Mus musculus: one gene and its partner. The protein of the gene in region 1 purifies or fractionates together with the protein of each later gene. This does not show direct contact. Links are inferred from orthologs where the notes say so. Each region holds a gene or a part of one and is shown in the gene's direction. Other genes may lie near its edges.

Region 1 (4,107 bases):
TTGTCTGGCCTGGAACTCATGTAGACCAGGCTGGCCCAGAACTCAGTGAGATCCTCCTGCCTGTGCTTCCCAAGTGCTTCACCACACCTGGGATAAGATTCACTTATTTAAATTGTGTGTCTGTGCATCTGCTGGTGGGCATGTGAACCTGTGTGAAAGGAGCCAGGGAGGCCAGAAGACGACGGTGGGTATCTTGTAACTGGAGTTACTGATGGTTGGGAGCCACCAGGTGGGTGCTGGCAACTGAACTCCACAGGATGCAGTCACTGTGTTTAATATCTCTCCAGCCTCTCGTTAGCCTAGGACTTGCCGTGTAGACCAGGCTAGTCTCTGACTCACTTTGCCTCCCAGTTGTTGGTACTCTAGGCCTGGACCGCTATACTTAGCTCAATTAACAGTTAATATTCAATATTTTTAAAAAACTTCTTTTTGACATAATGTCTCACATGTCTCATGTCGTCCAGGCTGGCCCCAAACGTGCTGTGGGATCTGGGCTGGGGGATTTTGACCTTTCCACCTTCTTCTACCCACAGGTCGCTATTAAGATCATTGATAAGACCCAGCTGAACCCCAGTAGCTTGCAGAAGGTGAGGCCCAGAGAAAGGACCAGGGTGGGAACACAGTGCTGGGTGAGAGCTGGGACCCGACCAGGCCTGGCAGGGGAGGGAGCCCCACCCCACTCACAACTGTCTGCTCTTCCTTCCTGGCCTTGCCCAGCTGTTCAGAGAAGTCCGAATTATGAAGGGACTCAACCACCCCAACATCGGTGAGGAGGGGACGGGAGCTGGCCATGGATGGACGGGGGCTGGCCATGGGTGGATGGGAGCTGGCTATGGATGGACGGGGGTTGGCTATGGGCGGACGGGGGCTGGCCATGGATGGACGGGGGGGGGGGGGGGTTGGCTATGGGCGGACGGGAGCTGGCCATGGGCGGATGGGAGCTGGCCATGGTGGAGCCCTTGGGAAGGGAGGGCGGGGCTTTCATAGAGAGACCTGGCCACTGTGGTGCAGCCATTCCAGCCTGGCTGAGGCTCCCTGGGCATCTGCTTTGTTTTCTGGAGCTGGGATCAGTATCAGGGTTGTAATGACCAGGTAAGATTAGCCTGTTCAGGTCCGTGTGGACCACGGCACTCATGGTCATTAGCAGAGGTGGTCACTGAGCGGAGCACAGTGTAGCGTGCCTGGATGTGGCGATGACGTGCACTGACTGTGTAACTGCCGACTGTGAATGCCAGCAACATGGGCACAGGTCCTAGGCTTTATTGAGCTGAAACTCTTGTGTAGAGAAAGGGAGGCTGAGCAGCAGGGAAAACCTGGCTGGGTGGGCGTAGGGAGCCATGGGGGCTCTGGCGGGAGGCACGAGAGGATTGGCAGATGGCTGCAGTCTGGGTGGAGAATGGCCAGCTCTTCCACGCTAACCTAACACCTCGAACCCTCCCCGCAGTGAAGCTTTTTGAGGTGATAGAGACGGAGAAGACGCTATACCTGGTGATGGAATACGCTAGCGCAGGTGAAACTCTGCCCCACGCTCTGCTCCCCCTAACCCCTGTGCCTGCTCTCACATTCCCCCCAGACCCCCATAACCCTGCTCTCACATCTCCAGACCCCCAGACCCTGTTCTCCCCCCCCCCAGGCCCCCAGACCCTGCTCTCACCCCCAGACCCCTAGACCCTGCTCTCACATTCCCCCACTCCCTCCCCCTGCTATCACATCCCCCCCAGACCCCCACACCCTGCTCTCAGACCACCCCCAAGATACCCACATCCTGCTCTCACCCTCCCATCCCCGTGCCCTGCTCACACATCCCCCAGACCCTGTGCCCTGCTCACACATCCCCCAGACCCTGTGCCCTGCTCACACATCCCACCACACCTTGCTTTCCCAATCCCTCCCCCATTGCACCCTCTGGCTCCAGCTCTCACCCCTCTTGCTCTCTGCAGGAGAAGTGTTTGACTACCTCGTGTCGCACGGCCGCATGAAGGAGAAGGAGGCTCGAGCCAAGTTCCGGCAGGTGAGAGACAGGGTGCCATGTTCATGAGCATATGCAGGGATGAGGATGCACAGGGACCCAGATGGGAGGAGGCTGTTGGGGGGCCAGGGCTCAGGTGATGGCAGTGGGTGTACAGGTGAGTGGATGCTGAGGCCTGGGTGGGGTGGGGGTGGGGAAAAATGCTGGAGTCTGCATGGCAAAGCTGGGGTGGATCAGGCAAGGGGATCAGGGGCATCCTCAGCCACATAGAGTTTGAGGCTAGCCTGGGCTATACAAGACCCTGCCATGAAAGAGAGAGAGAGAGAGACAGAGAGAGAGAGAGAGAGAGACAGAGACAGAGAGAGAAGGAGAGGAAAGGAAAGGAAAGGAAAGGCAAGGCAAGGCTGGGGAGATGGCTCCTTGGATGCAGCCCTGCTAAGCAAGCCAGAGGGCTAGAGTTTAGTTCCCTGAGCCCTGTGGGGTGGGTGTGGCAGTGCCAGCCTCCATCCCAGCACTCAGGAGGCAGCTGGGCTCACTGTGGCTGGGCAGCTACACTACCTGGATTGTTAAGCTCCTGGTTCAGTGAGAGAGACACCCTTCCCCAGTAAATAAAGTGGGAGAGCAATTGAGAAGCACACTGATGTCAACACACATACACAAACTCAGAGATGCAGAGGGTGGTATGTGGGTCCTTGAAGGAGTGTGTGTAGGTGTGAGGTAGCTGCATGCGTTGGAGTGGCAAGATGGGGGTGGGGCTTCTGGGTGGCAGGGCCTACAGGTGCTTGGTGTGGAGGATTCACCACTCTCACCTAGGGTGTAGACATTGGTGTGTGAGAGTGAATATGGAAGTTAGAGGACACACCGGTGTGAGGCCCAGGTGTAAGGTGAGTGGACATGCAGGTGTGAGGTGAGAGGATGTGCAGGTGTGAGGCTCAGGTGTGAGGTGAGTGGACATGAAGGTATGAGGCCCAGGAGTGAGGTGAGTGGACATGCAGGTGTGAGGCCCAAGTGTGAGGTGAGAGGATGTGCAGGTGTGAGGTGAATGGACATGAAGGTGTGAGGCACAGGTGTGAGGTGAGTGAACATGCAGGTGTGAGGCCCAGGTGTAAGGTGAGAGGATGTGCAGGTGTGAGGCTCAGGTGTGAGGTGAGTGGACATGCAGGTGTGAGGTGAGAGGATGTGCAGGTGTGAGGCTCAGGTGTGAGGTGAGTGGACATGAAGGTATGAGGCCCAGGAGTGAGGTGAGTGGACATGCAGGTGTGAGGCCCAAGTGTGAGGTGAGAGAATGTGCAGGTGTGAGGTGAATGGACATGAAGGTGTGAGGCACAGGTGTGAGGTGAGTGAACATGCAGGTGTGAGGCCCAGGTGTAAGGTGAGAGGATGTGCAGGTGTGAGGCTCAGGTGTGAGGTGAGTGGACATGAAGGTGTGAGGCCCAGGTGTGAGGTGAGTGGACATGCAGGTGTGAGGCCCAGGTGTGAGGTGAAAGGATGTGCAGGAATGAAGAACAGATTCAGGGTGAGAAGATCCATAGGTGTGAAATGAGAAGGTACACGGGTGTGAGAAGCATTTCAGGATGTGTGGCCTGTGAGTGGGCACCACTGTATTTACTACTGGTGTGAGGGCACCCTTTGTGTAGAGTAAGCACCTTCAGGCACAAGGATTGTAGCCCCGGTGAGTTGGGGCCACATACCTGTTTCCCTGCATGGGACACTTTGGAGTTCCCAAACATGGACTAGTCCCAAGGTCTTGATACTACAACCAAGGACATGCGTGTATGCATACCTGCATGTGCATGCATGTGTCCATGTGTGTGTTTGTGTGTATGTGTGTGTATGAGAGAGACAGAGAGACAGAGACAGAGAGAGAGAGAGCTGCCTGTGAGACCATCAGATGATGTCTGGGTGTTCAACGCTCTCTGAACCTGGCTGAGCCCCCAGGTCCTCGACTGGTGCCCAGAGAAGTACTGGGCAGCTAGGTCAGCTGTGGGTGGTGGCTTTTTGGGCTGCAAGGGACATGGAAGACTCTGGCCTCCCACATGACTTGTCTTCAACCGTAGATCGTGTCAGCCGTGCACTACTGTCATCAGAAGAACATTGTACACAGGGATCTAAAGGTAAGCCCCTCCCACTGCGAGAGC
Region 2 (4,594 bases), on another chromosome or scaffold:
CGGGCGCTGGCCGTGGTCCTGACCTCCTAGCTCAGAACCATGGTGCTGAGCGCACTAGAGGCGGGGACCTTGCCACACTGAGTAGCCATGTAAGCCCTTGTCCCTACAGACCCCAAGGGAATCCTCTAGTCTTCACTGCAGCCTTCCACTGCTCTCTTTGAGCTGCATCAAAAAAGGGTGGGGCTCTGAGCCGCAGCTGCAATCGGATGCCGCCCGGGAGGATTTAAGAACAGCACAGTGGTCCACCCCAATCGCCACTCGACGCCTCCAGCCCGGGGATCAGCTGGTCCCTGACGCGGGTTCCCCACCTCCCAGGGACAAGGAGGCTAGGGCAGCCTTTGTGGGAGCTCAAACGCCCACTGGCGAACCCGTGCCTCGCCGCACCCTGCGCGGTGAAGGGGTGGGCAGGGCGCGGTGCGCGTGCAGATGCGGGAGGCAGAGCTCTTGGTGCCGCGTGCTGGCTGGTGCTGGCTGCCACGCGGGGATGCTCGGTCCTCCGCGACAAGCCAGGGGGCAGCCCCGCGCTCCGATCCCACCCTCCACCCCCATACCAACCTGATCATAGATGTTCTGCAGGGCTTCCTTGCCCGAGGCCCGCCGGATCTCCACCTTCCGGCTCGATTCAACAGATGGCTCCCCACTGGCACGCCGGCTCTGCCGGTGCGGGTCGGGGCCCAAGTGGGCGACATCGCGCTGCTGAGCCACCACTTGCCCCGAGCCCCGGCCCACTGAAAGCGAGTCGAAGTCGATGGTCTTGTTCTCCGAGGACCCTTCCACAGGGCAGAACATGCCGCAGAATTTCTGCCGCGGCTTGGGACTGCCGGAGCCCAGGTTTTTAAAAAAGGCAGGGACCTCTTCGTCCTCTGCTGCCTTTCCAGATTGCTTTCTCTCGGCCATGGCTCAGGGGGCGCTGGGGAAGGTCCTGTCTGTTCGTCCGTCCGTCCGTGGTTTCCTAAGTCTCCCTAGCTGGGTGTGCACTAGCCTCTTGCTGCCGCCGCGGCTGCCTCTCCCTGCCTACCGCAAGGTGCACAGAAAGGATGGAGAGCTGGCGAACCGGCGACCCACCCCTCGCGGTCCCTCCTCCTGACCCCGCTTTCTCCCTCCCTGCCCACGCCCCCCGGCGCCGCCACGCCACCTCCGAGCAAAGTTGGATCTGAGCGGGCGGTCGCTGCGGCAGAGGATGCCAGTTCCCGGCAACGCGGGGCGGGGCGGAGTGGGGCGGGGCAGGAGGAACGCAGGATCAGGAGGGAGGGGACAAGGAGGGAGAGGACCCAGAAGGAGGAGACGGAGAAGGGAGGGTACGAGGGGGTGGGGGGCGCCCGGAGCCTGCGCCCCGGAAGTAAAGCGGACACTCCACCCGCTAATGGACGCGCGGCAGCCGCCCGACAGACCTCTCTCGGCGCCAGGGTGAGTGTCGGATAGCTATAGCCGGGCAAGGACCCGAAGGCTCAGACCCTAGTCCAGAGCCCCTCTCCCCGACCTGCCTCACTGCATTGCTAAGGTGGCCCTGGGGCTCCCCTGGCCTCGGGTGAGAGCTGAGGGTTGAGGGAGCCAAGGTTCAAGCCTGAAGGCTCTTGGAAACTGGGCAGGGGTGACCCTGGAAACAGCAAAGTCTACTCCGGGATAACCAAGTATCCGGCACCAATGCTTCAGTTTACCCACGACCTGGGCGCCAGGGCGCGCACTGCAAGGAGCAGAAGGAAAGGAGAATGTTCTCCCTGCTTGCAGCCCCTGTGGTTGGGAGGTGGGGCTCACAACATGGCGGGGGCGAAAAAGCAGAGGAGCATAGCAAATGCAAGCGGTGACCGGGGGAGAAAGCAGCAAGCCTGCGGTGCGGGGGGGGGGGGGGGGGGCATAGTAAAGAATGCAGACTGAGGATTGCGCTTCAGCATAGAAACTGGGGACCCGTAACATCATCTGAAAAGGCCATGCCCTGCACATCAGCCATTGCCTCAGAAAAGGCTCAGAAGAGTCCTGGATTTGATATCTCCAATCCCTCAAAACACACACACACACACACACACACACACACACACACACACACACACACCCAAAACGGAAAATGGTTGGGGACTAAGCAGACTGAAGCACACTCATCTTGCTTTCAAGTCGCCCCGCCTAGCTTCCCCGCCCCTGTTGCACGCTGCGCAGGAGGCCCGGGAGTTTGCCAGATGTTCCTTCTCTAGGGCCGCAGCGGTTTGCATGGAGGGTAGAGGTAGATTGCTGTTCAGGGGAGGGTTACATGCTGTGTGAGTTGTGGGCAGCCAAAGTGTGGGGATTTGGAGTGTGTGCGCGCGTGCACACGGTTCAGCCACGACCGCCAGGTTCGAGGCTTTTCCTTGCTTAGTCCCACCTCCTGGTCCTGGCTTGGTTGCATTTAAGCCCCTCCTGTTTTTCCAGAGTGGCTGAAAGCTGCAAAAGTGTTGCCCATCCTTTAGGGGTTCTGGAGCGAGATCTGAGCATGCTCACTAAGATGGATGGGTTTGGTCTAGGAGAGGCAGTTTACTGCAGCGTGTTCTCACAGGGCGTTGTGACCAAGAAATCAGTCCCATTGTCAGCCTTTGCTTAGGTAACGATTGCTTGCAGATATCAACGCCCCCAGTTGCCCGAGATAGCTTGATTGATGGAGTCATAATTTGTGCGCACACACACACAATCCTGTAGGAGCCGAAAGGAGGGCCTATGGACCTTAGCACCAGAAATGCTTGGAATTTTCTTATAAAGTGTCCATTGGAATTGTCAATGCCACACTAAAGCCCTGAGGTCTTTCATCCTCCCTGCCTTCCAAGTTAGGACACCAGTTTATGAGTCATTACGCCTAAAGTCATGTGTCTAGTTGTCCAGGCCTTTGCCCCAAGAGCCTGGTTCCTTCAACAGGTTATCCTATAGGCCTCTTTAGTGAGAAAAGTACAAAATCCTTGCATTCTTCCATACCCAAGCATTTCCCTGGTGGTTCTTTTGTACATCAAGGGTGTTTCATTTACAGTCTTAAAATCTTTTTTGGTTAACCTTCATTTATGTATATGGATGTTTTGCTTGAATGTTTGTACATGCACTGTGTACAGGCCTGGGGCCATTGGCGGCCAGACAAAAGTGCCAGATTCCCCTGGAATTGAAGTTACAGAGTAAGCCAACTTGTGGGTGCTAGTAACCAAACCTGTGCATTTCACCACTAAGCAATCCCTCCAGATGTGTGAGGCCTTAGTTAATTGAAGAGCAACCCTTGTAGGTATGGTTACCATTGGGTTAAAGGTCTCAAAGGCTAGCAGATTTCAGCATGACAATTTTTCTGTGAATCTGGACATTTGGTGTTTTTTGTTCATTTGTTTGTATTTGTCTTTTTTGTTTGTTCGTTCGTTTTCTGTTTGTTTCGGTTTTTCAAGAGAGGGTTTCTCCGTGTGACAGCTCTGGCTGTCCTAGAACATACTCTGTAGACCAGGCTGGCCTGGAACTCAGAGTTCTGCCTGCCTCTGCTTCCCAAGTGCTAGGATTACAGGCATGCGCCACCACTACCCAGCATGTCGCTTGTGTTTGTTTTTGCTCTTTCTGAGACAAGGTCCTGTTTGTAAGCCCAGGCTGACCTCAAACTCCCGATGTAGCCAAGGGAGTTAAACTCCTGGCTCACTTACCTTCACCACTTAAGTGCTGGGGTAATGGGTATGTGCCACGGCGCCTGGCTTATGCAGTGCTTGGGATCTAACTCAAGGCTTTGTACATAGTGACAGCACTCTGCCAACTAGGCTACAGTCCTAGCCCCTCCAGAGCTCTTCACATCTCATTCCTCGAAACAACTCCAAGCAGAGGAAGTTCACTCCCATATTTTACAAGGGAATCTCAGGCCTAGATTGGTCTGAAGTTCCGGGCTCCCATGCTGCCAAGCACAGGGTGAGACAGCATCTTGCTCTCCTGGTTCTGACACAGTGGAACAGCCTTCAACACCTTCCAGGAAGACCGGATCTGCTCCTGCTGCTGCCATAGTTAAGACCAGCATCTGTGGCATACAACCTCCTTCAGAGTGATGGGAGATGTTCAAACCAAGGAGGAAGTGGATATAGCACCCTAACACACCCTCTACAAGTCTCTGAGAGGCACAGTCAGGCACCAAATTACAACATTTCAGTTGACATAACACATGTGCCCTATAAGAATGCATGGTCTAGTGATGGCACTCTGACATTCAGCCAATTAGGAAGCGGCTTCTCTGGAGGCATCCTCATGACTAAGTGACCACACTGTCACTGGGAGCACTCCCTTTTACATTCTCCAGTCTCCCCAGCCCTGCAGAGCAAGCACGCTTGGTGCACACATCACTTTGCAGTGGATATGTGTTCTGTCTTTGCCCTTTTCTCAACGGCCCAGTTAAATTTAAATGACAATGTCAAGTTTAAATGTCTTAGTTACTTTTCTATTTCTCTGGCAGAGCACCATGACCAAGGCAGCTTATAGAAGAAAGCATTTGATGGGGGCTTACCGTCTCAGAGGATGAGTTCATAACCAGTGTGGGCAGGAATATGGCAGCAGGCAGGGAGGCATGGAGGTGGAGCAGAGAGCTGATATCCGATCCACAAGCACAGGACAGAGACTGACAGTGAGA

What was found. The genes of interacting proteins can lie anywhere in the genome.
Region 2: the proteins of Mark4 (region 1) and Pnma2 purify together in Homo sapiens (co-immunoprecipitation; 3 studies listed by BioGRID and IntAct, with this or other methods). This does not show direct contact. The link is inferred for Mus musculus from reciprocal best matches to the Homo sapiens genes MARK4 and PNMA2.

Annotation. Positions count from the first base shown.
Region 1 is NC_000073.6:19,445,085-19,449,191, reverse strand, and holds part of Mark4 (MAP/microtubule affinity-regulating kinase 4), read left to right. Parts: intron 1-533; coding exon 534-587; intron 588-717; coding exon 718-766; intron 767-1,444; coding exon 1,445-1,510; intron 1,511-1,940; coding exon 1,941-2,011; intron 2,012-4,026; coding exon 4,027-4,083; intron 4,084-4,107. UniProt on the Homo sapiens protein: Serine/threonine-protein kinase. Phosphorylates the microtubule-associated protein MAPT/TAU. Also phosphorylates the microtubule-associated proteins MAP2 and MAP4.
Region 2 is NC_000080.6:66,909,887-66,914,480, forward strand, and holds the start of Pnma2 (paraneoplastic antigen Ma2 homolog), read left to right. Parts: upstream 1-1,321; 5' UTR 1,322-1,407; intron 1,408-4,420; exon of another isoform or gene 4,421-4,594. Other genes in the region: Dpysl2 (dihydropyrimidinase-related protein 2), read right to left, coding at 556-897.